Linked DNA regions of Drosophila melanogaster. The protein of the gene in region 2 interacts with the protein of the main gene of each other region in a pairwise test. Each region holds a gene or a part of one and is shown on either strand. Other genes may lie near its edges.

Evidence for each region.
Region 1: the proteins of CG13840 (region 2) and mnd interact in a two-hybrid assay, tested with the Drosophila melanogaster proteins (one large-scale study listed by BioGRID).
Region 3: the proteins of CG13840 (region 2) and wap interact in a two-hybrid assay, tested with the Drosophila melanogaster proteins (one large-scale study listed by BioGRID).
Region 4: the proteins of CG13840 (region 2) and CG7655 interact in a two-hybrid assay, tested with the Drosophila melanogaster proteins (one large-scale study listed by BioGRID).

Annotation. Positions count from the first base shown.
Region 1 is NT_037436.4:14,982,336-14,992,752, forward strand, and holds mnd (minidiscs), read left to right. Parts: upstream 1-2,764; 5' UTR 2,765-2,819; intron 2,820-5,076; exon of another isoform or gene 5,077-5,246; 5' UTR 5,247-5,616; coding exon 5,617-5,914; intron 5,915-7,513; coding exon 7,514-7,732; intron 7,733-7,810; coding exon 7,811-8,406; intron 8,407-8,494; coding exon 8,495-8,881; 3' UTR 8,882-9,332; downstream 9,333-10,417. Other genes in the region: CG3349 (uncharacterized protein), read left to right, coding at 1-8; CG5114 (uncharacterized protein), read left to right, coding at 600-1,515, 1,578-1,785, 1,876-2,089; Zip71B (Zinc/iron regulated transporter-related protein 71B), read left to right, coding at 10,137-10,280.
Region 2 is NT_033777.3:22,812,508-22,818,901, forward strand, and holds CG13840 (uncharacterized protein), read right to left. Parts: upstream 3,672-6,394; 5' UTR 3,531-3,671; coding exon 2,130-3,530; 3' UTR 1,976-2,129; downstream 1-1,975.
Region 3 is NC_004354.4:22,449,273-22,458,074, reverse strand, and holds wap (wings apart), read left to right. Parts: upstream 1-2,652; 5' UTR 2,653-2,801; exon of another isoform or gene 2,802-3,015; 5' UTR 3,016-3,413; intron 3,414-3,488; 5' UTR 3,489-3,490; coding exon 3,491-3,681; intron 3,682-3,884; coding exon 3,885-4,344; intron 4,345-4,402; coding exon 4,403-4,584; intron 4,585-4,646; coding exon 4,647-4,845; 3' UTR 4,846-6,630; downstream 6,631-8,802. Other genes in the region: tilB (touch insensitive larva B), read right to left, coding at 6,648-6,765, 6,827-7,039, 7,212-8,058, 8,121-8,130.
Region 4 is NT_033777.3:17,679,726-17,685,754, reverse strand, and holds CG7655 (uncharacterized protein), read right to left. Parts: upstream 3,087-6,029; 5' UTR 2,967-3,086; coding exon 2,640-2,966; intron 2,581-2,639; coding exon 2,146-2,580; 3' UTR 1,982-2,145; downstream 1-1,981. Other genes in the region: CG31360 (uncharacterized protein), read right to left, coding at 224-342, 405-582; CG31251 (uncharacterized protein), read left to right, coding at 910-1,010, 1,068-1,600, 1,660-1,946.

The DNA.
Region 1 (10,417 bases), on a different chromosome or scaffold from region 2:
ATAATTGAAATTCAAAGATAGTCATGATGCTTTAAAGCCAATATAGTAATAATACCATATAATATTAATATATACTAAGCATTAATTTAAGTACTTGCTTAATGACATTTTTAACATCGTTAAATATAATTAAGCTTTAAGAACATCTTTTGTTCATTTGTGCATAAGGATCAAACAAACGCAAAGTAAAAACAAATTTCAATACATCTTAGGTCAAACCTATAAACCTTTACTTTAGAGTTCCTAATCGGCTTCCTCGTTATTGCAATTTGTTGTTGCATTAAATGAATTAAAAATAACACCCCCAAAATATAGTTTGATTTTATCATGAAACCTGCTTACGTTTTACTACCAAGATGAACGTGTCAGCATAGCCCGCTTCAATTTGAAAATTCCGCTCAATTTTTGACATTTGGCAACACTGTATTTTGGCTAAAAAAATAATCGACGAAGTCGATAGTCCCAACAAGCAATCGATGTTTAAAAAACATTGGCGAACGAGTTGCCAGACCATTGATTTTCTAGCACGTGTGATACATTCATTTAATTGTTATTTTTATGCAGCTTAACTTGCTATTTGGACCATTAAGAGAATAGGAATGCGTGACAACACACCGCCACACCGGCCAGATTTCGATGACGGCGACGACGAACTCCAGGAGATAATTGAGCTGGAGGAGCAGCCGCTGGACGAAGATGACGACGATTTGGAGGAGGTGACGCTGGAGCAACTGGAGGCCCGGCTTGCAATGGCCGGTGGCGATGATGATGAAGAGGAGGACGAGGAGGAGCTACGTGACCGTGAGAGAATAGCAGCCATCACGGACGAAGCTACGGTCACTTTCAAGAAGCACACCGCTCCTGTTTTCGCCTGCAGTCTGCATCCCAACTACAATTGGGCGGTGACGGGCAGCGAGGACGATCGAGCTTTCGTTTGGGAAACCTCCACCGGCGATGTCCTCTACGAGATCACGGAGCACAAGGACACCGTCACGGAAACGCATTTCAGTCACGACGGCGTCTATTTGGCCACCGGTGATCTAGCCGGCGATCTGTTTGTCTTCAAGGTCAGTGAAAAGCACGACGAACGTCCGATCCTGACTAAAATCTGGGAGTACTCCATGAGCGACATGTCCTGGCTCTTCTGGCATCGAGCTGCCCACATCCTGCTGGCGGGTAGTGACAGCGGAGAGGTCTTCGTTTTCCGCATACCCAGCGGTGAATGCAAAATCCTGCCGGGACAATCTTCGCGTTGCGAGTCCGGAGAGCTCAGTGGGGATGGCAAAAAGCTGTTCACGGCCTACGTGAACGGATCCGTAAAGCTGTGGGATCTCAAGAGCTGTCAGGTGCTCATTGACGTAAACGAATCGCATCCAATGGGTTTCGGCGAGATCACGCACGCGGTGGTGGCCTGCGAAAGGGAATCGCCCTTCTACGTCTGCGCTGAGGCGTCCGGTGAGTGCTCCAGTGGTAAAGGAATTCGGTATAATACCAGTTTCCATAACAAAACTATTAGTAAAAGCAATCATGTTCTCCATTGCATATAAACGGCAACTAATAGATTTATTTTCGTTCAGGAAAAATGCTGTTCTGCACTAACAACGGTCCGGTTAGCACAATCCAGTCGGAACACGGAATTGAGTGTCTGGCCTTTGCTCCCTCCTCGGCGGATCTAAAGCTCTTTGCCTGTGGCTCGCTGGACGGCAGGATATCCATCTGGGACTATGCCAAATCAGCGTTGCGTACCATATGCGAAAATCCAGTTCCCAATGATGCTGTCATAAGGTGAGCACCGCATAAAACTGTAAAAAATATTATAACTTTGATTTAACTTTTAATTTGGTTGTTGCTTACTAATTGCATTAATTATTCCAGGATCAAATGGTTGAACGACCACACGATACTTGCGGCCACCTCGCAGGGAAATCTGAACGCATTCGACGCACGCACAGGAATTCTGAAATTCACGCTGACGGGACACTACTATCACATCTACGAGTTTGTCTACAAGCCTCAGGAAAATCTATTGCTAACGGTATCCGAGGACAACACGGCCAAGATATTCAAGGTGCCGGCGCTGGGCGATTAGTTAGGTTTTAAAGTTTTGTACTGTGCTATATATATGTAAATAGTAAATACATATTAAAATTTATCTCAGTAGCCTGGTGCAATGAACCCATGTGGCGGTCCTGATACACTTGCCCCATATATGTACAAGAAAAAGGGGGGAGGCACAGGGCTGACTAAAGATAGAACACACAAAGAAGGTTACAGTTTGGGGTAACAAAATAGAACTGAAAAGGATTCCGGTTTTTTTGCATTGTGTCAAGAATATTATACTATTTGAAGTTTTTGTAAATTGGTAAGGAAATTTAATTTCATGCTGTCAATTTGGGTTAGGAAAAGAATTATTGTTTTTTAACTTTTTAATGGGTCAGAACTATGGTTTTAATCGGAAGCGTATATGAGAAGTAAGTGCATTCTAAATGCAACTGCAACGAATTCTCTTCAATATCTGGTTCTCTTAGGGAGAATGTGACATGCGTATTGCATTGGGAGCACATCCAAAGAGACAAACACTTGTTTATGTTTTTGTTTGTCGGTTGTCGTTCACCTCCGACATCCACACACATACACGCACACAAAGGCGAACAATTGTCTAAAAAATGAAAACGAATTTTCAGATTTACATATTTATTTACCTTTCTGTTGTATTATATTATTAAAGCTTTTTCGGAAGAGCGACCCACGGATGGAATTCTCGACTCAGTCTGCATCGGGTTATCAGTGCGAATGGGTAACGGTTCTCCCTCTATCGGGTAAAAAAATAATGCTGAAACGGTTCAAAACGTAGTCTCCCAGGGATTTTAACTGCGTGAAAATATCATAAGCAAATATTTAAAGCGCAGCGAGTGAATATTTGAATTACATTAAATTTAATAAAGCAATAGCACAAAGTTCTGCAGCTATAAATAAAACTTACAATGTTCATTCGCAAGTTTGAGTACATTTATATTACCCTGTGGAATGGTAATCACGAAAACTTATGACTCGTGGCATTATATGATGAAGCCTCACCGAAATATTAACGAAAATTGCATATGGAAGTGATCCATCATATTTTTCTTTTTCAAAATATACACATTAAGTGCGGCGCGGGGGAGTTAAAAAAAAGTAACAAGAAAGAAAGGGTTAATTTTGAGTTCTAAAATTGGAATACCCTATAAAAACTATGAGAGAATTTACAAATCCTGTGCAAAAGTGATCATATCCGATTTATTAAAATTACAATCAAATTGAAATGAAAAATTCAAAAATAGCAGAATAAAATAAAATTAAACTTAAAAAAGATCATATATTTTAAAAATTAATCAACTAGTTAAGACATCCGTCTGAATAAACATTGAAATCTGATGAATCAATAGATGTTAATGACATGTATATGTCCATATCCTTCTTCTTGAGCTTATAGCTAGAATACCCTCCGAAAGTGTATTAAAGCTGATATCCCGCAGCTACGAGGCGACAATAAAAGTCACACGAAATCACAGTTAATCAACCACAAACGGGGGCCCGAACTGATCCACCGAAAGCACTGTAATTGTGGCTGTGGCGACACCACCACACCGGCGAATAATACAAAAAAAAACAGCGCCCTGTGTGTCTCTTTTACAATTAGATTACCAGAGGAGCTCTACGTATCCAAAATGATCCCATCCCGCTGGCTGAGCCACTAAACTGAGCGGAGGCGCTACACTTGCTTTGTTTATTATTTGTAGTAGTTTTTATGGCGGTCGCGAGGGAGGTAAAGATGGGCAGCTGCTAATCCATATAGCCAGTCAGTCGGTCGGGCACTAAAGGTTCACGATTCACACAATTGAATTATCACAGTTTGAAATGTCAAATGCACGCGCCTGGCGATGATCCATACCCACCCCCCACCCCACAATCCACCAACGAAACTACACTTCATGATAATCCGCTCAAGTGTTTAACAAAAGTCGCTCGGTTTGCATTAATGAGCATTTTGGCGCATAAAAGACCGCCGAATCCATTGGAGTAATCGTCGTCAAATGAGCAACAAAAGAAGCCTTATATTAAATGGGGTCTCCGTTGGGTAATCTAACTAACTAATCCGTAACTCTCTTCAGCTGCGGTTAGCCCCATAAATCTCCATACACAAACGGCTGTAAAATTAATTGATATTTGATTTACAGTTACAGTAAAAGAAAAAAAGTATTAGATTAACTGGGATTGCGGCTTCTTATCAACGACTTCCTCATTTTTGAAGTTACAATTTTACCGGAAATCGCCGCGCATACAGTAGACATTGCCTAAGGGATACATATACAATATTTCATATATACATATTTCAAACAAATATTCTAAACTGTCTTAAAATGATCATATATTAGCCTGATTTGCAATCGAACGATATTAATTGTATTGTATTTAGTTTACGGTCATCTCTCCTATCGAAAGCTTTTATTCCGTGTTAACACAATGTGACATTTAACCTTGTTACAATTATTGTGCACACAAATAGTTTGTGGCAAGTTTCACTTGCAGTATTTGTCCCACAAAGCCGTTAAATCAGGTGCAATTAAAGGCTTAAACAAATCATTGAGCTAATGTCTTTTGGCACATGGGATAGCCAGTGACAACAAAGTGGCTAAAGATTTCGACAAAATGCGCACATATTTAGGACCCAAACAAAAGGTCAATGACTAAGGCGAAAGAGAAACTAACTTAAGAGATTGCCGGCGACTCTCTCTTAGGCGACCGCACGTGCTTTATTTTTGGCACACAATCGTAAACTTCTCAAACTTCTTTGGCTAGCGAAATGTTTGAGGCGTCTTGCATCATGCGATTTGCCGCATGTTTCGGTGGAAAGTTGGTTTGGCAGGTAACAGGTAAGATGTTTATGGCCCAAAAGAGCGCGAGAGAGCAGCAGCTGCTTTCCGCGCCGCCTTACCTAAATGGAATAAAAAAAAAAACCAGTCAAATGCAAAGCCCAAGTTGAGCGAGCGACAGCCGTTTTGCTCATAAAGGGGGGTAAATTCGTATTCCAAACTTAGTTTGAACTCAGAGCGCGTCGCGAGCAGTGCGTTCCATCCGATATTCTGTCGGATCTTCCGGTTTTTCGGTTTCCCAAATTTCATAATACCCAATCTCATCTTGATTCGAAGAGATGAACATGATAGAACCACGTGGATTCTAATACCTTATCGTCTTTAAATATATAGAGCGAGCCCTTGACAAATGTGTGCGTTTGTGTACTGAAGCGCACATTGGAATAAGTGAAGTGGTGAACAAAACAGAACTGAAATCGGAAAACAACAGAAACAAATGAATAAAACCATGTGGACTCAAACGAACTGAACTGTATTGGAAGCTCCACGCTGGCACATGTCTAGCCTGTGCTGATAAAAAAAAAGAAAACGAAACCGAGAAAAGTACGAGAAACCCCCGATAAAAGCAATGGACTTGTGTACATAACGACGGCCAGTCACTGTAAATCGGAAGAGTTACCCTATAAAAATCATAAAAATTCAAAAAATATTCCGTATTCCAAGAACCACCCATAAAAAACGCCGCACATCTCCCGAGCAAAAAATGGCGCGAGTTCAGGCCAGCGACTCGTTGATTCCCCGCCAGGTGTTCGAGGTTCCTCCGGCGGAACCCAATAATTCCACGGCGGACAGCGGCAGTCAGGGTTCCGGGGTAAAGCTAAAGAAGCAGATCGGCCTGCTCGATGGAGTGGCCATCATCGTTGGTGTAATTGTCGGATCCGGCATCTTCGTGAGTCCCAAGGGAGTGCTCAAGTTCTCCGGCTCCATAGGACAATCCCTCATCGTTTGGGTCCTCAGCGGAGTGCTCAGCATGGTGGGCGCCCTATGCTACGCCGAATTGGGTGAGTAATGCTACATGTAAGGGGTAGCTTTAGGAATTTTTCGGTTTTTTTTATAGTTTTTGTTTTTGTTTTTCCGATAATGAGCCCACGCCTATTCAAACAATGTTCTGCGGAGCTGGCAGTTATTGCTTCCCGCTGATGACAGCAATCGGTGGGTCAACATATGGTATGTGTGCGTGGATGTAGTGGGAGAGTTGTTTACATAGGTGTAAGACAAGCACCTGTAGCAAACACAGCACAAATTTGAGAAAAAAATGGAACAAGAGCTCTGGTCGCCCAGAATGCTTAAGTCAGTACTAATGGGCTAAAGAGGTTAAGGCCAGAGATAAGCTATATATATCAAGCACCAAAAAAATCAGTTCAAGATTACGATTTGAGTATTTTAAAATAAGTTTAAGCAACATGTGGTACTTAAAGTGCTACAAATAAACAGCACACAGTTTTTGTACTGTAGAAAGAAACAGGAAAATTCAGCTTATTTCCAATTAAAATCGGTCCAGATCCAAGACCCAGAAGCGGAAAATCTCTATGACCTTTGGTTCGAACTGACAATCTTTTGAGATTAACTACTCCAACCAATTACCATGGAGACACATTTAAGGCATGGAATTAGCTCGGTCCCATTAAAAATGCCTCTTCAAGTGGCACACACAAAAATTAAAATCAGTTCCAGCTCCCCAGCAAAATGATGAATTAGAATTGATAGTGGGACCGACGAAACATTCAATTATCAACTAATTAGCACTTGAGCCTCTTCAGAAAAGTACAGGATGCTTCAAAACTTGGAATAAGTATATTCATATTATCGGAAATACAGCGAGTGTTCTTTGTTTCCTGGGGTAAATTCAAATGTTCAACCCTCTCTATTGAAATTCACATACATATATAACCGAAGGTATAAATTTACCTTTTCAAGATCTGAAAACAAATAGAAACTTGAATGGAACTCTCTTAATATCTTTGATCCACAACAAAACTTAAGAGAATCAAAGAAAAAAGTCTTATCGCTTTTTCTCTCCTTTTACGTCATCTTTGCTTATGGCTTTGTAATCATTATTAAAACACGTTTTTTTTTAACAATCAGCCAGGCAGACACTCATTACCATACATTTTCGGCAGACACAAATTAGCATAATTTTTAAAGTTTGCTTTTCGAAATATCAATGGAAGTTCAATCTGATCTGATCAGAATGTTTGAACATATTTTTGAAAATCAAATATTTATGCTACCTTTTTCTAACTTTTCATGTCAAACTATTTAAGTACTAAATAAAGTTCCATAAATCTTAATGAAGTGAATGGACAGAGCAAATAAAATAAAATTATCACCAATTACTAGGATGGTCGTAAAAAATGGAATAGTTAGTACACGCTTTTTAAGCGTTTCCAAAATTTCTCCAATTGCTGGAACAACCCTCCTTAGATAGGCAAATGCATACCTCAAAGCATTTTCAGAACTGTGTCATGCTTATCAGATTGTCAACGTTTGCTCTCTATTAGCCTAATCACTTTTTAAACATTATTCTCTTGGGATGTTCCCCGTGAACTACGCCGTAATGAGCAAATTTTCTTCTATAACTAATATTTTAACTTTTCCAGGCACGATGATACCCAAATCAGGCGGAGATTATGCCTATATAGGCACTGCATTTGGTCCTCTGCCTGCGTTCCTTTATCTGTGGGTGGCCCTGCTGATCCTGGTGCCCACGGGCAATGCGATTACGGCTCTGACTTTTGCCATATATCTGCTGAAACCTTTTTGGCCTTCCTGCGACGCGCCCATTGAAGCTGTTCAGCTGCTGGCGGCTGCCATGATATGTAAGATTCGCTGATAGCTAATCGGTGGTGAGACTAGGCATAGACTATATTGACTAATTGCTTGATCTTCCACCCTAGGTGTGCTGACGCTTATCAATTGCTATAATGTTAAGTGGGTTACGCGTGTGACGGACATCTTTACGGGCACCAAGGTGGTTGCCCTCCTGGTGATCGTTGGCGCCGGAGTCTGGTGGTTGTTCGATGGAAACACAGAGCACTGGGATAATCCCTTCTCGGGAGGCCTTCAAGATCCTGGATATATAGCCCTGGCCTTCTATAGCGGCCTCTTCTCGTACTCCGGCTGGAACTATTTGAACTTTGTAACAGAGGAGCTCAAGGATCCGTACCGAAACCTGCCCAAGGCCATTTGCATCTCAATGCCGGTGGTCACGGTCATCTATATGATCACGAATATTGCATACTTTTCGGTTCTCTCGCCAGACGAGATCCTTTCGTCAGATGCAGTGGCAGTCACGTTTGGCGACAAGATGCTGGGGTATATGTCCTGGATTATGCCCTTCGCTGTGGCCTGCTCCACTTTTGGTTCGCTGAATGGAGCGATCTTCGCGTCCTCGCGACTTTTCTTCGTCGGTGCAAGGAATGGTCACCTGCCGGCCGCCATTTCGCTGATTAACGTTAATTGCCTGACACCTGTGCCCTCGCTGATATTCCTGGTAAGTTAGAGGCTTAACCTAAGTAAAGAATCTATAAATATTTGTTTTTATCAAATTATCATGTTCTTTTCTTTTTTTAATTTCCCAGGGCGTGCTCACCTTGCTGCTGCTGTTCATCGAGGACGTCTACGTACTAATCAACTACGTCAGCTACGTGGAGGCGTTGTTCACGCTGATCTCGGTATCCGGACTGCTGTGGATGCGCTACAAGCAACCCAAGACGGAGCGACCCATCAAGGTCAACTTGGCGCTGCCCATCATCTATCTGATCGTCTGCCTGTTCCTGGTCATCTTCTCTTGCACGCAGACGCCATATGTGGTAGGAATCGGGACGATCATTATACTGTCTGGAATTCCGGTCTACTACCTGACCATCCACAAACCGGTCAAATGGCTGGCGGACACTTCGCAGGCGATCAACCTGTGGTGCTCCAAATTCTTCATCTGTATGCCCAACCAGGAGAAGTTCGACTAGGACTGCAGGACTCTACGACTTTGGGAAGAGAGGGCCTTTTGTGGATGTATCGATCAACGCAACTATAGAAGGGAATATCTTGTAGTTAGGATAAGTCTCAATTTACCCCTAAGATAGGTTAGCAACGCGAAATTTTGAAAACCTACGCACAACATTACAAAAGTGTTATTGTAAATAACTCAAATGCATTCTGGTAGGGAAGTCCCTGCTTCAATTAATATTATTTGTTAGTCGTACTTTTAATGTATATTTCAAACCCAAAAAAAATGAGTTCCTCGTCGAAAGCAGAAGTACGCCTGTTATACAAAATGCGAACCAATTTTTACATATTATACAAGTAATTAGGAGCTTATTCAGTAAGTAATAATTATTATTGATGCAACTTTTTGCGAAATGTAAAAAATCGAATTTGTTTTGTATAAGAAAGTTAATAATAAACACATTAAACTTTAATCTTATTACTTTTTGTGAAGTGGGCGGAAATTGGCATTTTAAAGGTAAAAAAGTAACTTATATCATTTCGCATGGTATCTATTTAAAGTATCATAATTATCTACCACAATATTTATTAATTTTTTTAAATATTTTCATTTTCTAGTTATTTTTCCTACTCCAGCGAGTTCTAAAACTCACTACTTGATGAAAGCGCCTTTACAACGCCTTTAGGTATGCAATCTTTTTCTTCATAGTTACAATCTACCGGATAGTTTTTAGTATAAAGTATTGTTGCTTAATAATAACATTTAGCCAGATTCTTAAGATTATGAAAGGAAAGTGTAAAACTTTAGTATTTTCAATTTAAAGGCTGAGTACACTATTTAATGTGAGTTTAGCCGATGAACAGGTTAATCGACTTTATTAATTTTTGGCGCTCAAATTTGATGGTCCGGCGAAAGCTTTTCCAAAGCTCAATCCAAATGACAGTTAAGTTTGTAGCGAGTGCGCAGAGCGATGAGTTGCCCGCCCAGTGGGCGAAGGAGAGAGGGAGAAAGGAGAACGCGCCGACGCTCGTCGAACCGAAAGTCGTATAAAACGTTGCGTGGGCGAAACTGTCATTTCAAAAGACCGTTGAACGGGATCGGTAGTTGGCTGCAGTGTTACGGATCGCACGCGTCTGTAAAAACTCGAAAAAATCCCGGTGAAGCCCCCAGTGAAATGACGAGTGACCAGTAGATAACCGGGTTCAATAAAACGAATAGAATAAAACGAAAAGAGAAATACTATCTACCACCACCTGAGTGTTCAGTCCATTACGATGGCCCAAAAGCAGGTGCTAGTCTTAAACCTATTTTGCCTGGGCTCACTATTTTTCAAAACAGTGCCAGCTTCCACGGAATACAACAAATACGTGGCGCAGATATTTCAAAAATACGGCAACGGCGGGACAATCAACTTTGAGGTAATAACCAATAAACCATCGAACTAGCCTTGTAAACACACACAAGAGCGTAATTTGAGCACAGGTAAACACAGGTAAACAAAGTCGGACACGGGACAAAGCTTTTGCGGTTAGCGTTATGGCAAAAAATTAGTGAG
Region 2 (6,394 bases):
TTATCAAAGTTTGAGCCAAAAGTGCTGATTAATTTTTAATGTTTATCTTTGTCGTCGTGCTGCTCTTAGCCCCCTTTTGCTACGTTACCTGCTCGAAAGTGCAGAGTCATTTTCGAAATTATAAAGTCATTTTGCTGCCCTTTTCGAGAAATTCGGAGGGACCAAAGTGTGGCGCTGATTTAAGAGCTTTCGGTTTTTTGGTTCTGTCATCTCGATGTATCATGTGATTATATTTGCGTCATACATTCAATGCTGAGAGCTTAATTGGGGCTTTACAAAAAACCGAATTCAAAGAAATATATTTACTTTGGTTGGATTTTATTTCCATTGTGTTCTGAGCTTTAGGAGTATATTATAGTGAAATGAAATATTTATAAAATGCAATCACTATGCACTGACCACTGGCCTATGGTGTTATAACAATCGAAACCGGTGATTTTACCCAGTCGTTTGTCACCCAATCGCATTCAATTTGTTGATCTGGCATGTGCATGTGTATATGTCAGCGGCAGGGTTAAAGGGTTATGGGTTTAAACGGCTACGGGGTTAAAGGGTACATGTGCACAAACGAGGGACTCATCAGCAGATTCGCGGTCAACTATCTAACCGGAGCGCCATGTTCATTGCGTTTTGTGGCTTTTGTCATTGGCCTGCGAAGTGGGAAGTCCTGGATGTCGGACGTTAGACACTGGATTTGGGCTACGGTGGCCAGAAAACGGGACCAACGGCCGCCGGCTGTGGTGGCCAGTGGTCAGATGAGCAAAATTCCTAACGAAGCGGTTAATGTGGGCAGTGCAATTATGAATTTATGCACATTTATTCGGCTGCAAGCGCCATTTACTATTTGCATACCCACTGCACAACTACATGTGTAGCAGCGGGATTCACGGAAAAGCGTTGATTTGCACGCATGCTTATTATATTTGATTTTTAGTTGGTTTCCGTCGCTTTGCGGTTTTCCTCAGCATAGGTATGTGGCTTATAAATGCTAATAATGTGGCCTGCAACGAATTGAATTTACAAAATTTAGTACACAGCTAGAAAAGTAATGCAACTATTTTCCAACGTTTAATTTTCCCAAGAAAAAGAAGGACTCAGTAAGCTTAGGTTTGTTGGTCTACCGCTAGGTGGCTGAGTAATGAGTATTAAGTAAGTAGTCAAAGCGCTTTAAACCCCAAATCTTTGAACTCATTTTTCCCCAAACATTTTCCTTAAATTCTCCTTTGCTGCCGAATATTACATATATTGTGTGTGGTGGGTGCGGAGTTCTTCCTCACTTCGCCTCCCTAAAAATGGAGTCGAATGGCTCCCACGTCAATTAGGGCTAATTTCATTAGCCGGCAATAACTTGCAGCACTTTCCCCAACCAGAAACTACTGGCCCGACTTTTCGCGACCCTTGCTGGAACTTTACTTTTTGGCTAATTTTGTTGCTGTTTCGTTAACGCCTCGGCGAAGTTGAACGTCGCGTTTATTTGTGCGTCATTGTTGCTCCTTCTGCTGTTTCAGTTAAAAGTTGTTTCAACTGGAGTTACATTTGGCAATTAGCCGCTGCATTTTCTTGCACTTTCGCTGCAGCCCCCTTTTGCATTGCAACCGGACTTCAGCCTCGTTCTGCCCATCGCACTTCAATACATATTTATTAGCCGCATTTGTTGGATTTTAGCTCAATTAAAAAGTTTTACTCGGCTACTTTTCTTCATTTCGGTTTGGGACCTGCCCTGTGACTCCAACTTCAACTTCGACTCCGAATGTGTTGTTTTGTTTGGTAGCTGTTAACTGGGAGTTAGAAACTTGGATTTGGGATCAAGGAGTTGCATGCTGGATGCTTTTGCAGCCACACTGCAGTTGCTGTCGGTGGCCTTTTTTGTCTTCTTGTTTTGCTAATTGCAATTACTTTTTGGGGTTCAGTCACTAGAAATTAAGGCATAAGCTGAATTTGAAATACTCTAGCCGTTAATCAAACTGCATAACATGAAAAATTAATAAATGTATTTAATTCAACTTAAGAACATTCCACCAAAAATATATTTATCGACTACCCTACAGTTTGTACTTTTACTTTACAAATCAAAAAACCCCTTTTGCAAGGGTATAAAACTGGCTTAAGAATTTATTCTTAAGATAGACTCATCCCAGCAGATGATTGCCGTTGGCACTCCAGCCGGGTGCCACGTAGTGGGGGCGCTGCTTGTGCACCACCGTGCGCACCACTGGCACTTTGACCGGATACGGATAATAAACTGGCGAGACCACCGGCTTCTCCACTCGGTAGGGTACCCTGCGCTCAACCACAAAGGGAATGGGCCGCTCCACGGGCACCGGCTTCACCCGTTCGATGGGAATCTTAACCTCTTGCATCTGGGGCACGGCCACCGTTTGGGCCACTGGTATTTTGATGGGCATGGGCTTGGGTATGGCTGCGATCACGGTTCGTGGCACTTGCACCTGGACGTTCTGCTTGAAGGGCACATGCTGCTTCTGATAGTGGGTGATGGGCACACTCTTAGTGATCTCGATGTGCTTGGCCAACGGCAATCCGGCTACCGCTTTACTGCTCTCCGGAGTATGGTGCACACTGGTGGTTATGGCTGGGAGATCTGCAATCTGGCTATCCTTGTGAGAGTACAACATCTGCTGGTCCTGGGCAACTCCCAGGCGCTGGTGATGCCGTTGATCCTGAGGATATTGCAGCGCATGTGGCCGCTTTTGTTGCAGATGTTGTTGCAAGTGTGGCTGTTGCAGCTGTCTGCTTTCAGGTTGCTGATAATGTCGCTGCTCCAGTGGCTGGCTTTGCTCCCGGTTTGGATGATGACTCGATAGGGACTCTTCCTGCTGACGCTTAACTGGATTGGCCGGTGTCTGGAGTTCTTTGAGCCGCGCATAGATACTAGTAATATCCTCCTGCTCCTGGTGCTGCTGCTGCTGATGTTGCTCCACCTCCTGCTCCCGCTGGCGATTCTCCCGGTAATTGGAAATTTGTTCGAAATGGTAATCGCTGGGACCGGGTAGCGATGTGGCAAACTGCACCCGCGGCCGATATGCATAGCTTTCGTAGTGCTGCTCCCCATGATGTGGCTCCACATCGTAGCCAGCGGAATTTGGCTCATAATTTGCCGTATTAATGACAAAATCGATATTGGCGGATGGGTCGCGACGCGGCTCCTCATCCGCGGTGAATGGCGAGTGCAGTTTGCTGTTGTAGTAGAAGGGCACAAAGCCATTGGCCGTGGTGCCAAGGGAGGATTGCGAATGGCGATGGTGCTGTTGATGGGTGGCGGCCAGGAGTTTGTGAGCATAATTTCCATATGTTGCCAAGTCATCGCCGGCTGCAGTGTCAGTGGGGCCATAATAATTTCGCGTATATCCTGTTAATCCCGGCAACGAGTCCACACCCGCATCCTGGTAATGGTGTTTGCTGCCATGTTCCAGCGACAGGCCGAGCGGGTACTCCGCCAGGGATAGGGGCAGTGGGGCATCTATGGCCTCCATTGTCATGGCCAAAGCGAGCCACATTAATGCATAGATCATTAATGAACTGGTGGCAGGTGACCCAAAGCCTTGGCCGGATTTTGGCCGCCCCATAACGTTGGGTGGTTGTGTGTGTCCTGAAATCCTGAACTCCTGTGTCCTATATCCTTTGTTCCAATCCGCCAACGGAGTGCGTGTTTGGATGCAGCTGGCGTGGGTGTTGCTCCGCTTTGAAATGCAAATTTGTGACATCGCGATGCTGTTTTTATAGCACACACACACTCTTCAAATGCTTGGAGCGCTCTACTTGTAATTGGATATCCTCGTTGGCACTTCAAGTTCATTGGCCAATCCACCATGGATTGTGTAAGTGGAAGCCCATGCCCAGGCACTCACTTTCACTCGGCGGCACACACCAACTGTTCCAGATAGTCCCTTTCTGGTTGTTCCTTTCAGATGCAAGTGAGGCGGCGATCCGCTGTCCGCACAATTCGCAATCACAAAATACGCAGCTATACCGCAATTGCTAGCCCGCAATGCACATCGACCTATGCACTGTGGTCTAATAGGGCTCAAAAATTAAAAAAGAAAATCTATTGTGGATGTGATAAAAATGGTAAAAATGAAGTTATTAAATTAAGTAAGTTTTGTTTTGAGTGCATAAATATTGCTTCCTTTTTAAGCTAGCATAATATTTGATAATTTTCAACATAGCTGTAACCACTGTGCACCGGTTGGCTCCCAGCCGCATCGGATTTCACACTGTGTGGCAGCTTGCGGTCAATGTCGCGGCCATTCCGATGTTTGATTGCACAAATGGTGACGTGCGCTTCATGTGCTTGCGGTCCGGTCTTTGCCAAGTGCAATCGCCGGAGATTTGAAACGCGTCTGAGATCTCGGATTGCAGCACTTTCAATTTTCATCTGGATGCATTCGACGACATTTGGTATCGTTGCTCTTGCATAATTTACCAGCCACGCCTTCACTCACTCAAAGCTGACAATGCACTTTGGGTCTAAAGTGATTCAATTTTAAAGAACCTTTGCGGGAATAGCATTCTCAGCGATTTTATAGTGCACTCAGCAAAATAGTTGATATAAGATTATAATATTTCTATATTCAGGTTTGTAGAATTGAAGATACATTTAATATGTGATACATAGATATATTATACCTTAGTTACCATTTTTGTGTTTTCTGCCATTCGTAGTTCGTTTAAAGTATTGTAGTGTTATTTTCCGATTTTAATCTTATATTTGTGATTTTCTCTGCGAGTAGTTGCCTCTGGCGGGAAATCAAGGGAAAGTCGGCGAAAAACGGAGATAGAGCGAGTTCTTTTCGTTGCTAGCCTGGCATCCTTGGATCATTCATCATTCTGCTCTGCATTTAAGTTTGCAAAGTTCACCAGGTTCGCATCGCCACCTTTCTCTATATACATATATATATATATATTTGTATATATATAGACCCACCTTAGCCACGCCCCCTTAGAGCGGCGTTAGCAGCAACGCCCACCGTCACCGCACTTTTGAAATAACAGCGCAAAGTACAAGTAAAGTGTATTTTCACATTGAATGAGGTTAAGCTTCGTTAAATTTTGCGCAGCTTCACTGTACAGTTAAACCTCCCCATCCATATCACCTGGAACGAGAGTGTGTGTGTTATACTTGTTGGATGCAATTTTTTTCGCTTCTTTTTCATTACTTCAAATGCTTTCAAGCCCTGTGAAGCATATTTTAGCAAAGTTCCCATAGAAAAGAAGCCAGCCAGCTAGCCACCCAGCTTAACATGGCCAAAATGTGTAAAGAAAAAAATCTACTAAAAAAAAAAAGAACAGAAAATAAAAAAAAGTGAGTAGAAAAAATCGACAAAACGATGGCAAAGTTAAATGCCTGCATACACATACTTATTAAAGTTCAAAGTTTTCTTTGGCGCGCTCTGCATAAAATCCATCATAAAATTAACAGGCGGAGAGGAGCAGCAGGAGCAGCAGGAGCAGATTTTGCTGTGACACTGAAACTTCATTAAGTCACGTTAAAACGTTAAAATGAGAAAACGGTCGAAGGAAAGGCAAAAATCCAGCAGCCAGCAAAAACAGAAGCCAAGGCAGCCAGCAAATAGCCAAGAAATTCCAGCTATGGCATAGTTGGCAACGTCGCTGGCCTTTGCTTGACCCGCTCGGAGGTGGGTTTTTTTTTTTTTAATGGGGGACTCAGAGGCTTCGGCGGATACGGCGGACTCCGATGTTGTGGGTGACTCGGGGTCGACGGTCATCGTTGCATGCGAATTTAATCAAGTCATGCAATAGAATTTACGGTTCCATTGCCTTTCGGCCGTCGATGCCGATGGTCGTTCCGTCCTCGTTTGTTGGTCCACTCCCCACAAAGATTTGGCCCAAAACTTGGCCTTGGCTGTATAGTTTGGGCCCTAATGCCAAGTGTCGTCCCCCATTGCCCTACCGTCCCCACATCCCACTCATACCTCCTCACCGTACAGTTTATTCAATGTCCTTCGGCTTTATTCCTGGAATTGAGCCGCCTGTTTGTGTTGCTTCTTGAGTTTTTTGTTCAATGCTTGTTTTAAACAATTTGCGGTCCTGGTTTCGCGGGGCAGGGGCTCAAAGTTTTTGAGGCACTTTTATTATTTCGTATTGTGGCACAGGAAAAATTCGTATACGTGATTAAATTCTTCGAATTTGAATTTATAATTTGAAATGCGCATTTTTTTTTTACCCTTTTTCGTTATTGCATTTTTTATGGAGATATTTATATATGCATATGAATTTATGAAATATGCCAATCAAAGCTGGCTAAAAAGCATTTTAGGGTAACTATAGTGTTTGATTAATCAAATTATAGGCCATTTGATATGCAGATAGTTCAGTTAGGTAAACAGTATTTAAATTTTAGAAAGTTGAGGTAAAT
Region 3 (8,802 bases), on a different chromosome or scaffold from region 2:
GAACGTTGAGTAAGAGGTGGGATAGTAGCTGCTGCCGTAGCCCGACGAGTTGGAGCCGCCGGACGAGGTGGGCAGCCACTTGGACAGACTGCTGCCGCGGTCGTAGCTGCTCGATATGCGGGAGTAACCGTTCGTGGCGGCGCCTCCGCTGGTCCGATCCACCGCACCGCTTCCGGTGATGCTGATGTGGTGACTGCCGCTGGTGGAGTTGCTGCTGGTGGTGCTGCCGCTGGAGGTGCCGACCGCCGATGTACCGTAGAGACTGCCGCTGCCCGCCGCTGACGTTGACGATCTACGCGGCGCAATTACACGCATATTAATGGCAGCAGCGGCAGTGATCAAGCCCCGGGTTCCGGATGAAGTCGAGAGTGTCCTTGGTCTGCTGGCAGCACGTGGTATTGCTGAGCGGATGATTCCTGTTTTGTTTCCGGTCTTGCTTCGCTTTCTCTGTTTTTCGTGGGCTATACGGCGGAATTCAGTTTCATTAATGGAAATCACAGCGTCAACGTGTCCATGTACCCACCTGCGTCACGTTATTTACATTATCATCGCATTATATCCCTAGGATTAGGTTAGTTTTAAACTTAATGGCTGCATATGTGCTACATCTAAGACCCGTTCTTGTTGCTGCTAAAGTTGTAGGCGAAACTGAAAAGAATGGAATTTTAGAAGGCCCTATTTATCAAATTAATTCGAATTCAAAACCTCATACTAATCGGACCATAATATTCTAACTTCTTTATCAAAAATATACCCAAAAGATTGGAAAATGCCCAGTGTAAATGATCTAATGAGGGAACATCTTTTAATCAAAACCACATTTTTATGACGGTACTTTTAGTAGTGCAAACAATTCTAAATTGTCAAGACCTTGTCCGTTTACATTTGATTCACTTATTGGAGAAATGAAGGCTTGCAGGCGCAAGGTTATCTTGAATTCTGCATAAGATAATGCGAAACCCTTCAAGCGGAACTCCTCGTCTTTCTTCCCCTTCCCACGATTGATTTTTCACAAGCGCAAAAAACACCCACGCACATCTCGGGAATTTGTGGCCTTCGATTTGTCCCTGATGAACAGTTAGGCGGAGAGTGGAAAACCGATCGACACTTGTTTACAATCGCAAAATAGTAATAAATAGAGAAAAGCCGTTTTCAAGTTTGCCATAACAACAACTTCAGTGTGACGCTGGCTGGCTGAACTGGGTAGGGGCGGTGTGGGACGCGGACGGCTGTCCTTATGCGGTAACACTTAAAATGAAGTTACGTTCGTGTGTGTGCCGCCAGGCTGTCTACGCTCCCATTCGAGAAAACCGTTGCTTTTACATACATACATGCACAAGTGTAAGGCTCTGCGGGTGGTGTAGTGCAGGGGGATGGGAGAAGCGGGTGGTAGGCCTTAACTAACATAAGATGGCCACACTTTCACGAATCGATCTTTCGTTCATAAAATGCTACAACTACACTACAGCCCATTCACACACATTCACTTAAAAAAATTGAATTATCCAAGCTCACACAATCGCACGCGAGTACCCACAGGTGTAGCTGAACTTTTTCAACGGTTACCACGATTAGCCGCTTTCTTTAGACACAAAACTCATACATTCTTTGCACGTCAAAATCGAAATAATTGTGATAAAAGCAAAAACAATATATAAAACGAAACGAAATGAGATTCTATTTTTAAAAGGTGCACTCACACACGCGCGTACGTTTGGCAGTGAAATGTGTGAGGGAGAGGGGGCGAGCCAGGGTAGTAGTAAAACAGTGCCGAGATTGTGCGCGCGAGCGATGTAGCACTATTGGCTACACGGTCACACACACACACACAGGCGCCAGGCAGCGTACGAATTACGCAAAGTGAAATATCTTTCTCAAAATGGAAAGTGGAAAAGTGACGACGACGGCTATTAGGAATTTTTCATACATCCACGGAACACAAAAAATGTACAAAGGCAAATGCGTATATAAAGTGTATAAATTCATACTAAGATAGAAAACAAATGGGCGAGGGGATGGGTGGCGAAGGTGAAAATTTGACCGCAAAACGAACATCACGAGGCGAACGAGGTCGCGCTGCCGAAAGTCCCGTCTCTTAATGATATCCCACAAATTTTAACGCCAGCCAAGCGACATCATCGTTTTGCACCGCAAAAGGGCCTTTTTCCGGTCGAATTAAAGCAATTTTTTTTTGCACAACACAGAACTCACTTTTTAATCCTATTTTTTTTGCTAGTGTGGCCGCACGCCGAAACGAAGTCACCGTCACTAGATTTTGAAGATAGGTTAACTGTTCTTCGATAACTATCGAAGAACTATGCCTGATGCATGTATGGTTGGTGTACTTGCTAACAGATGAGCAGAGGCCTTCTTAATGTTCCATTTACACAGAATTCCATCATATGGGATTTGAAAAATATGCTTCAAACTTAATAGTTTTTGCACAAAACGCCAATCGAATTATATTTCCAGTTCCAGGGAAAAGATTTCTGGGTGGAAATAAACACACAACTTTCAATTCTTAATTAGACTAAAGTCAAGCCTAGAATATTATATATTACAGTTCAATATAATTTAATACAGAATTTTGTTTTAAATAAATAGTATTTTGTTTATCTGGTATATAACAATGATTTTGCACAAGGTATTTCTTATAGCTATCTGCGCGGTCACACTGTTTTTGTGTGAAAATTCTGTCGAAAAGAATGTATTAAAAGTTCTTTGAATACTAATTCCGTGTAATTCCGACCGTGCTGTTTCAGAAAACTGTGGTTGGATTGGAAACTTAACCAAATTATAAGGTAAAACCGGGGCAGCTTGCCCATCGAAGGACCGCCACAAACGAATTTTCGCGTCGCATTACGTTTTAGTGTTGCCACCTTATACGGAGTGCCGGGCACAATTCCACTTGCTGGCCAAACGGATGCGTTGCGGTCGCGATGTGCACGCCGTTGAATTAATTCCTTCGCCCTGTTGATTGAGTACAGTTCGACTTCTCCGATCGGTGTCCTCCAGACCTAAATTTCGCCGGAATAACGACGGCAAACGGACGGACGGACTCTAGTCGGAAAACGGGCGAGCTGGCAATACTGCCAGTGCACAAAATGATGTGAATCTCGGAAAAGAGGAAAGCTACAGGAAAAGCCAAGGAAAAGCAAGCCGGTAAAGTGTGCAAATGCGAGTGGCAAGCAAAGACCTTTGTTTCCCATTCCATGAAGTTTTCTTGAGTTGTCCGCTGCTGTGAGTGGTCATTATCAGCCATCATCATCATTGTCGTCATCATCACCAAAGGAGCTCGTCGTCATTAGGCCGGCCACCAGCTAAACGGCATTGAGAAAACTCAGCAGCACCTTGTCATCCAAGTCTTGATCTTCGTCTTGGTCTGGATATCCGTATCCAATCACACAGTTCAGGTGGGTTCTTGATCCAGACTCCGAATTCGAATACGAGTCCTAGATTCTCATGCTGATCCTTTTCCATATCTACAGTTATGTCCTCGACCGCCGGAAAGCGCAAGGAGATCTACAAATATCTCGCGCCATGGCCACTGTACTCCATGAACTGGAGTGTAAGGCCGGACAAGCGATTCCGGCTCGCACTGGGCAGCTTCATCGAGGAGTACAACAACAAGGTACAGATCATCAGCCTGGACGAGGACACCAGCGAATTTAGTGCTAAGAGGTATACCGAATATTTGTTTAGCTGATCCCTTCTACTTTCTGTTTTCATTTTATATTTCGTATATTATCTTTAAAAAATAATATAAAATGATAAGCAGTTTTGATATTATTGTAATCATTTTAAATATGAATAGTTATTTGGTTATACGAACCATTTTTCCGAAATCCCCTTCCTCACTGACAGATTATTTCTTCTTCAAATAGCACCTTTGATCATCCATATCCGACAACCAAGATCATGTGGATCCCGGACTCCAAGGGTGTCTATCCGGATCTGTTGGCCACCAGTGGCGACTACTTGCGGGTGTGGCGTGCCGGGGAACCGGACACGCGGCTCGAGTGCGTACTGAATAACAACAAGAACAGCGACTTTTGCGCTCCCCTCACTTCGTTTGATTGGAACGAGGTGGATCCCAATCTGGTGGGAACCTCATCGATAGACACAACCTGCACTATCTGGGGACTGGAGACCGGACAGCCGCACGCTCGCGTCTATGTGGCAGGACACGTGAAGACGCAATTGATTGCCCATGACAAGGAAGTATACGACATTGCTTTTTCGCGGGCCGGCGGCGGTCGGGACATGTTTGCCTCGGTGGGAGCGGACGGGTCGGTGCGCATGTTTGATCTGCGGCACTTGGAGCACTCGACCATTATATATGAGGTAAGTAGAACGCGCGAAAACACAAAAACGGATGACTACATAACGATAAATCCAATAGGATCCTGCTCATACGGCGCTGCTGCGCTTGGCCTGGAACAAACAGGACCCGAACTACTTAGCCACCGTTGCCATGGACTCGTGCGAAGTAATAATTTTAGATGTTCGTGTTCCTTGTACACCCGTTGCAAGACTGAGCAATCACAGAGCGTGCGTCAACGGTATTGCGTGGGCGCCGCATAGGTGAGACTATAAGATTCCTTAAACCTAAAATGTGCCTAAACAATTTGTATTTTGGTTTGCAGTTCCTGTCACATCTGCACTGCCGGTGATGATCACCAAGCACTGATCTGGGATATACAACAAATGCCACGTGCAATCGAGGATCCAATTTTAGCCTATACAGCTGCCGAGGGCGAAGTCAATCAGATTCAGTGGGGTGCCACACAGCCCGACTGGATAGCCATTTGCTATAACAAAGCGTGCGAGATCCTGCGGGTCTAAGTAATTTTTTTTGGTCTGGTCCTTGCTGAAGCACCTGACTGCAATTGCTGAACAACGCACAGTCAACAAAGAAGCAAGTCAGAAAAACACACAACACCCACAAATAAACATACATTTGCTGTTGGTAACTTGGAAGCGGAAAGCAGTGAGCTTAAGTTGGATTAGTTCTGTCAACACGCGTCCGCAGTTTGTTTAATTTTACTGTCTGTCGAGAGAGAGAAAATGTGAAAGTGACGGATATAGAGGCAGAGAAATGGAAAGAGAAAGGGCTTAAAAGAAAGATATGAGTTTGAGGGAAAGAGAAGAGGACGAAGCACTTATTCTAGAATTCTTAGCTGAGTTGATCTAACAAGTATGTAATTATATAAGGTATAACCAAAATATGTTTTATAATTGTAGTTTATTTCACACTTGACAAATCCCGACACTCACACCCCCGAAAACTCCAATCAATTAGAGCCGCTTAATCTTTTTTATTTCGTTTTTATACGAACCCAAATGGAATGCAGAAGAAAAAGAAATCATATTTATTATAACACAATGTCCTACCTCGTTTTTTCAAACATGAATGCTGTTAATCGAGTTTTCGAGTCTGGTCAAAACAGCAACAACCACAAAAATACACAGAGAACAAAAAATGAGAGGTAAAAAAGTAGCCGGCAACAACGCTTTTTCGAAATATTTTTACTTTGTTCGATTTTTGTAACAGATCCAAAAAACGGAAAAACGACAAAAACAAGAGATAAAGAAAAACAAAAGCAAAACCATGGACTTAAGCAATTGCAAAACAAACATAATATGAAATGAATTAAAGAAATAAGCGAAATACTTACATAGATTAAAGATTAAAAACCAAACCAGGAAACTGATGACGAACTGCACACAACACAGCTAGAATACAATACTATTTAAAGATACAAACTAAAAGATAAAACAAATACCGAAATATATGAGCGAGAGAGAATACAAGATTGTTGCTATATCCATTTAACAAACGAGCGAAAATAAGCAAACAAACTATGATCATTTCAGATAAGACACGACCCTCCATCAATAATCTCAAATCTTAACCACATCCCATACTTTCCACAGGACAAAGCGACTTTTTCAGATAAAATCGAATACATTTTTTTTATGTATCTTGTAATTTATAGCAATTTCACAACTTATATATAAATATGTATACAGAAAGCGATAGCAGTAATAATAATCCCGATGATCGTGTATTGTAAATACAGCATGAAAGGCATATTTTAAACGAAAACCAACTTAGGCCCTGATTTTGTATAGCCATTTAAGAGGCCACTTCACGGGAATTTATATCCTCATATCCGAATACTTTTTCGTTTGCTGCAGAAGAGTAAGAAACTGAAATCAAGTCTATGGAATTTGGAATTGGATATATTTTATACGCTCGTAGCCACTAGGCGAAGACATTTTCATTAATTTGGCAAACCACGGTTTCCGTAAAAAAAATAATCGAAAAAAAACCAAGTTAGAATATAATTTTTAATTTAATCTTTATTTTCGTGTGCCCTGTTTTGCATTATCCGACTTACGTTACATTTATATATGAAATGTATATGTACACAAACACACACACACACACACACACACACTCAAGCGCATATATATATGAGCATCCGATCGGGCTAAAGTATTTACTAGAAAGCTAATGATTGATCGATGGAATGGATGGATCACAAAAACCAAACAAAACAAAAGATCACTGAGGAGTTTGAGAAAACAAACCAAATCAGACAAATATTTAAATAAACCATTTTTAAATAATGAACACAGTCTCAAATTAAATCGGGAAGATCTTCGGGTGCACAAATGTTGCTGATGTCCACTACTCCTCCGTGAAACGCTTCCTCCGGTTTCCCATCTTTTTTTCCTGCATCAAAAGGGGCGGCAGGGCTACATGAAAAGGTAGCTAGGATTTGTGGTTCATGATATACAATGAACTGGATGAACTTACCTTTTAGTCGGGCTTTTCTTGGCTATCAGCAGCTCGTTAACTTTTAGCTTCTTAAGATTGACCACAAGGTGACCTGTAATCTGGGAACGCTGCACAGTGGACTCATCCGGCTTGACCTCCTCGCTGTACGCGATCTGGAAGATCTTTTTTTTGACGGTGACTCTAGTGTATGTGGTCTGCACATCGACGTCAATTAGAGAGGTATCCAGGTGTCTGGGCGAAGGAATATACATATGCAATATTAATTAAGAATTTTGAAGTGTATGTATATGATTGGGGCGTAGAAACGATCAAGCAATACCAATATCGATATACATATGTAATATGTTGGTGATAACTTGTAAGATATGTATAAGTTTGGTTAAGACATCTTAGCCTAGCTTACCTGTACACCTCCAGTTGGAGCAAGTAATGGTCGGCCTCATCCCGAAACTTAAAGGGCAGTTTGGCCTGGTTCAGATTGTAGGGTCTGCCACAAGGAGCGAAGAGGTTGCGCTGTGGCTTCAGAGGGTCCAGTGGGGACTTGGTTTCGTGCCGCTCCCGTCCCAATCGGTGTTGCCGAGCGATCTCTGTGCGAATCTCCGGGCAGTGCTCGCTCTTCGCCTGCCAAAAGGCCTTTATGCGCTCTTCTTCGTCCTCTATGCCGGCACAATGTTCAGCCAGAGCGGACTGCTGCTTCGCCACCCGGATACGCTGCTCATCACGTTCGATGTCCTGTTCTACCTGCTTCTGAACAATGATGGACCGGTTCTTGGACAGTTCCCGCAACGCTCGCAGACGTTCCGAGGGAGTGATCTCCACGCAATCCAAACTGTTCAGCTGTGGCAAGGTGGCCACCACGTAGTCCCTGTAGTGCGGATAATCCACGCAAGGATTACCAATGAGTACCAACTCGCGGAGATTGTAATTGCCACATAGCGACTCAACACTGGTTAGCTCTCTTATAAAGTTTAAAGTAAGATCCAGTTTACTAAGCGACTCACAGCCCTCCAGATTCTCCACTCGTTCTATGTTGTTGATGGCCACATTGAGGTACTCCAGGCGCTTCAGCTTGTGCAAGTTCTCCAGGCGCGCAATCAGGTTGGATTGGAGGAGTAGGATCTTGAGGTCGCGACACCAGTTCTGGATGTGTTCAATTACCTCGATGTCCTCCTGGTGCAAGGAGATCTCTTCCAGCGTGCTGATTAGACGTTCATTGTGCTCTGATTTCTTGCGGACCAGCTCTTCGGTGACTGCGGATTAGTCAGTTTAATTGGTACGTTAACATTACTATTCTACAATTTCAATTACTCACTAAGCACCATACTGCCGAATGTGTGCTGTAATGAAAGTTAATAAACTTCCACAAGCCGAAAAGGGCCAGGCCAACTCCGTTGCTAGGCAATTTTATATTCCACATTCCTCGTTATTATTATTGGAGAATAAAATAATAAATACTATACTATTCAAAACTCGTTACTCAGCAATGTACATACTTCAAAAGCGGGCGAGAAATTTTGAAATTTTGACATTTTTCTCGATATCGATATCGAAAACAAATAAAAATGATTTTTCACTAGCGGGCGTGACAGTTTGGATTGGTTTGTGGACGTTGGAGAGGTGTGGCCAAAATGTGTTTCGTATACCGATAGAAATTCGCCAGATAATAAAAAATAAAAATAAAAACGAAAAAATATAACAAAATTCTACATTTTACATATTTTTTATACGAGCCTTGCAATGGGCATAGTTAACCAATCCCAGATAATATGTAATTAGTTTCTAATCCCAGATAATAATTACATATATTTCATAGCGCCCCCACTATGCTGCCCGCTCTGAATGAATTTCGCCCCTGGACAAACGAGAGAAATCTAATCAGCTGAATTACAATTAAGTAGTTTAACTAGCGAATTAACAGCGACGCATTTACTGCGGCCAGCTCTCTAGTCTTTTAGCAGCGGGCAGGCGGAAGGTTCACAAAAACTAAATTCAAA
Region 4 (6,029 bases), 5.1 Mb from region 2:
TTCAAAAGATGCAATATTGTGTATGCCTATGTAATTAATTTATTTAAAATAAATCATAAATTCATTAAAGCAAACAAGGTTTTGTTTTCAACGATTTTAAATAGAAAAAATTCTAAAAACAAGGTTACAGCTATATTATTGTAATGCCACATGGTCGTACAAAAGAAAACATTAACCTTTATATATTAAGTGACTCTACGATTATAATTAAAACGTCATTGAATTAACGTCTAGAAAAGAACTGATGATCAGTGCTAGTATTTTCCTGTTCTTTTGGCTTCTCGGCGGTTGCCTTCAGGAAATTCGCGTCTGCCAGGCGGGCCACGCCCAGAACTCCAACGGCTATGGCGACGAAGGAGAAAGGAGTAAACATAAGACCGGATTTAAGATCCCAAGTGGCTCACCTGCAGCCAAGCCTTTCATAGTGAAATTCTCCAGAGGTTTCGCTTGTCTTTTTTTCGACTGTGCCAATAGGAAGGCACCAATTCCCAGGAGTCCAAGGCCACTGACCAGACGGCAGGCCAAGCAGTCCACCTCGTTGGAAACGTTGTCCTTGTTCCAAAAAGAAAGTCTACCGATCATTTTTAAAATTATTTCAATAATAACAATTTGGGAATGGATTTGGAAAATAAGGCGACAACTATCGATATACCAAGTTTGTCGCAGGGCTGCCAACTTGATTGTGTTAACTAAACTAGGTTTTTTGTTAATTCGATCAACAAATGCTTTATTGACCTTATTTTCTAATAGAACTAGATTCCTATTAATATTATATATGTTGACCACACTCTAAAATCTTTAATATGTATCTATCTTTTTAATAGCTATCGCCGATTTAAATGCATTGTTATCGATAGACGTGAACATTAGATGTTAAGTTAAAAGCGGCCGGTTACTATTCTTACAAAAATGGACTTTCAGCGAAACGATGCTATGCTCATGGAAATTCTGCAGGATCGGAAAACTATTACAGGTTTCCTGGACTCCATTTTCGGATTTCTGCGACGCAAGTAAAAGATTTTATCTCAAGATCCTTAACAAAACTGTAGTCCCACTTCCCTTTTTAGCACCGACTTTTATCACACAAAACGCGATGAAGCGGATAAAATAGGCTTCCCCAAAGGCGTGAGGGATCAGATTCTATATGGCGCCATGCAGCGCTACGATCCGGATTGCTTGCTACAATCCCTGACCGCGGAAGGCGGTGCAGATGATGGAGAAACGGCTCCGCCTGCCGTCGAAGAAGTGGTCCTGGAAAGCGAAGATGGTCCTCAGGACGAGGAAATGAAACCCATAGAGAGCCAGCCGCCACAAAAAGGGAAGGAGCAGTCAAAGTTCTCCCCCAGCGACTACAAAAACGGAGATGTGTTCGAAACGCACTGCTGGTCACAAACCCTCAAGGATGTGGAGGTGCAGGCTCTGCTTCCCAAGGATCATCAAACGGCGAAGAAGCTGCACATTTCAATTCAGGCCCAGCACATCAAAGTGAGCAGCAAGCATAGCCCAGAGACGATCATCCTCGAGGGAAACCTGAGCCAGCGGATTAAACACAAGGAGGCGGTGTGGACAATTGATCAGAACCGATTGATCATAAGTTACGGTGGGCATTCACCTAAAACATCTTTATAAACCATTTTCATAAACTGTATATAACTGTAGATAAAGCAAAGGAGCTCTGGTGGGATCGGCTCTTCGAAGGTGATCCAGAAATCGATTCCAAGAAGATTGAATGCGAACGCTATATAGATGATTTGCCGGAGGAAACCCAGGCCACCATAGAAAAGCTTAGGGTCCAGCAGTTGGCAGCAGACAAGCAACAAAATGAAATTCAGACCTCAAGTCCCGACCAAGCTATAAACCTGGATCGCCTGAAAGCTGCCTGGGATGCCGAAGGTTCGCCGTTTAAAGGACAGCCCTTTGATCCTTCTATCGTAAGAATGAGTTAAATTTTAAAATAATTAATTAAGCTAGCAATAGTAGTAAAATAGTAAAAACTGAACCATATATATTTTTATATATCTTTTAGTTTTTTCATTATTTGTTTCGTTCTGATTCGGAAACTGAAATTGTTAGAAAAGTATTATTCAATACAAACTCATGTCAACTTACAACTAGATCTTAGTAAGAACACTTTTGAGATTAAGTTTACTTGGCCTTCAGTTCGAGTTTCTTGCGCTGCAGTTGAATCTTCTGATAGGCCACATCCTTCTGATCTGTGGACCAGGCCAGGTACATGTAGGTGGTCAGCAGCAAGGCCATGACTAGCCGATCCACGCTCATCACATTCGTGGCGAACAGGATGACCGACAGGCCCACAAACGAGGGATGTCTGACATGGGCGTACAGATTGCGCAATTCCCCGGATTTGTAGCTGATGGGCGGTCCGTAGGCCTTCAGATCGTAGTAGGCTTGCTTGACGCCCAGCAGCTCTGGCAGATCCATCACCAAACTGCCGCCAAAGATGACAACCCAGCAGATGCCATGGGTGATCACGAAGGTCCACCAAAGCGGAGCACTCTGCTCCACATCGATTTGCCACAGAACAATCGACTGAGCGGGCAGCCAGTTGACGATCAAATACTGAAATGTCCAAAGTTGCAGTTGGGAGCTATTTCTGTCCAATTTGTGGGTATACAAACATGTAAACAAAGCGATGACGTCAGGCTATAAATAGTGCGCTCCGCACCCGACAATCCCAACTTGGCCAACAGCTTCTTGACCACGGCTGACTTGAGGAAGCTGTGCTGGAAGATGAATCCGATCAGGTAGAGGGTATCGAACACCACGGGTCCATAGGCGGTCTGCAGGCGCGACTTGTTGTCCAGTAAATTGAAAATCCAGGTGTGCGCCTTGGAAATCGAACGAGGCGTCGAAAGGAACATCATCAGGCTGCCAACCACGTACAGGGAGTAAGCGAACGTGGCCAGGGATGCCAATAGTACTATGGACTTGGCAATCGATGTCATTTTTGTCAGGAAAATTGAGAAAATAGCTTGTTATTTCGAGATAATCAAAACAAATTCAATGAACGTTTCGGTGAGCTAATCAGTGCGACCATGGCACAGTCGCGATAAAATCTTCGGTGAAGAATTTCAATTTGGTTTGTGTCCACGATAAAAACATCGCTCTCCCCACGTAGCGTGTCTCGGCTACAAAAACATAGCGCATTTATCCGGCGGCTTGAGTCATCGCTAGTTGTCCAAATTTAGGACTATTATGTGACTGGCGCGATTTTTGGAGTATGTCGCCACGGTCACTCTGTTTGCAAATGTTTCAATTTTCCCACTAACGAAAAAGTGTAAGTCCGCAGCCGAAAGGCATAAGAAAGTTGAGAAAAAGTTTAACAGTTGCAAGTAAGAACTGGTTTGATAAAGCGTATCTAAATCCAAGCAAAGTGATGAAAAAACTGTCGACGCGACAACCCAACACACACACACACTCAAACAGGCGCAGCGCTCCGGCACACATACACAAGTGGCTTGCAAATGGCGGATGCGTTTCCAACAAAAAGAAAAGAAGAAGGAAAAGAAAGACTGCATTGTAAATGTGAAATGTTGTGAAAATTGTTGACGTTGCAAGTGGCTTAAAATCGGCTGAAAATCAGCGTTAGAAGTATAGAGACTGGAGATAAGAAGGGGAGAGCGGTGTACATGTATGTGTGTAAGTGCAGTGCGACGCCCTTTTGTCTTGAGAGGAAAAAGGAAGCCACTACTTTATTTATCGGTGTGCAATTATTCAAGGTGCCAATTAGTAGTCGACACACTTTCACTGCTCCCCATTGCTTAATTATGAGCAAAGGGGACAGCTGACTGCTTTGATTTGCCAAAAATCTCGGGCGCCGCCGTCTGGCCGGGGCCCTGCCCCCGCCCTTTCCCATTTGTTGTTCGCTGATTTTATCAAAGAAAAAGACAAGAAATGAGCATAATTGATGCGCTGACCTCACCACACACACACACATAAGCATATGCGGGCTTATCAAAGGAGCGAGAGCGGAGCAGAGCTCAAAAGAGAGAGCGGAGCAGAGCAGCTGCAGTCCAATAAATCATAGACTCAAAAATCGTTCGTCATCGGGGAAAACCAATTGACAATCAACAAATGCTATCGACGTCTACGTCAGCAATCAATAATCATTAACCGCCAGCTTTAGACAATATCAATTTGCCTATTTATAGCCTTTATGAGTCACTCCACATTTTAGACCAACCTTCCATCTGTGGACCAAAAGAAAAAATTAGGGAAACGAACTTGGAACCTGACGCTCCCACGCAGGAATAACAAGAAGACACCACACACCGCAAAAAACATGCCACGCTTTCTTTCCCACAGAGATAAATAAAGCAGCATTGCATGTTGCATAAATATTACGGGAGAAAAAGACGAAAAGTAGGGAGCAGTGCTTTCTAAAATTAAAACTCTTGAGCCGCTGAAAATAGCAGGGGCAAAAAATGCATTTATGAATAAATAGATGAAAAATAATGAATGAGTGCGAGTACGCTCTCGCTCAGCGGTGACAGAGAGAGCGAGGAAAGCACTTGCACCGTTATCAGTGATGCTGCTGCGAAAGCAAGCTAGTAAAAGTATAATTTCAAATTATTTTTTTATGAAAGAACAAAAATAATATAAAATGGAGAACCCGGTTAAATTTTAGATAGATTGGAAGTTTTCAGTTTTAAGAAGTTATTAGGATATGTAAGTTGATTATGAAAAACAATTTTTTTTTAGAAACAAATCTAGACATTTATAATTCGCATAAGGACTTTAATAATTATACACAGTTACGAGGATCAATAACTTTTTTATTTCCATTTGAAGAGATGTAATCGCATTGGCGAATACTTGACCCACTTCAAACACGCTGCCTTCAAAGGCCAGAAAATGGTCAACTTGGCATTTCTGGCCGGGGCTCACCAACAGGGGAGAAATTCCATGTGCCAGCAAGTGCGAGTGTGTGTGTGAGCAGGCAGCTAATTGAACACTGGGGCGCCGCAAAAGAAAGGGGGAGGGAGGGAAGCAACGGCACAGAAAGATAGAAAGAAAAACGGGAAAATTAGGCCAACTGTGCAGTTCGATGTCAGTTTGCCAGTTTGTCAGTTGGCTGTAACGAGGCCGAGCAGCCAGCGTGTTTTGCATGCTGTTCGACCATAATACATAATTATTTATAGATGGTCATAATGATAATTGGCAGCAAGATTTCGACTTTCACACACTCGTTTATACAAAAACTCACACAAAAACACTGGCCAGTCACACTCACGCACACATGGGCGCTTTTCTTCCGGTTGATGACCTTTACCGGCGTTTTTATTGTGCTTTTTATTCTCTTTTGGCTTTGGCTCTCTTCTGCCGCCACCGCTTCTGCTGCTTCTTCCTCCCCCGCCTCTATACTCACGGAATCGGAATCCGCAGCCCGGACTTTACTTACTTTCCGTTAAACGCCATCGATTTGTTTGACGGAAACCCGTTTCCATTGTGCCATTAAATATTAATTTAACTTTGTGGTCAGTCCACCCATCCGTAATAATGAATGTCGGTTTCATAGGACTAGATAATAGACAATTGGAGTTGTAAAAACTTTCATAAATTGTAGTGAAGATGCTATGAACCATCTAAATTGTCACAATGGTCGCAATACAACAGTTGGAAACACTAAAAATGGTTACATTTGTTAATAAATGAAATCAAGAGTTAGTTATATGTAGATAGAGTAAACCTGGAAAGATTTGCTGTATACGGATTATTCATCTACCCAGTATCACGTAACCCAGTATTTTTGAAAGCCCCTTAGAAATGTTTGTTGATTGTGGATAAGAAGAAACAGAAACACAGTCAGTATCTTTTAGCCAGAAACATGACGCGAGCCAGCAAAGCAGCAGAAATAAGAAGCCAGAACTTGACAAGCCAACAGAGGAAAATAAATACCCGACCTGCCAGTTATCGCAGCCGCAGAGAGCAACAACCTTGAATTGAAATTTTTGCAATTTGTGAATTCTTCCACTGAGCTCGCGGAGTCAGCGAAATTTCAAGTTTTG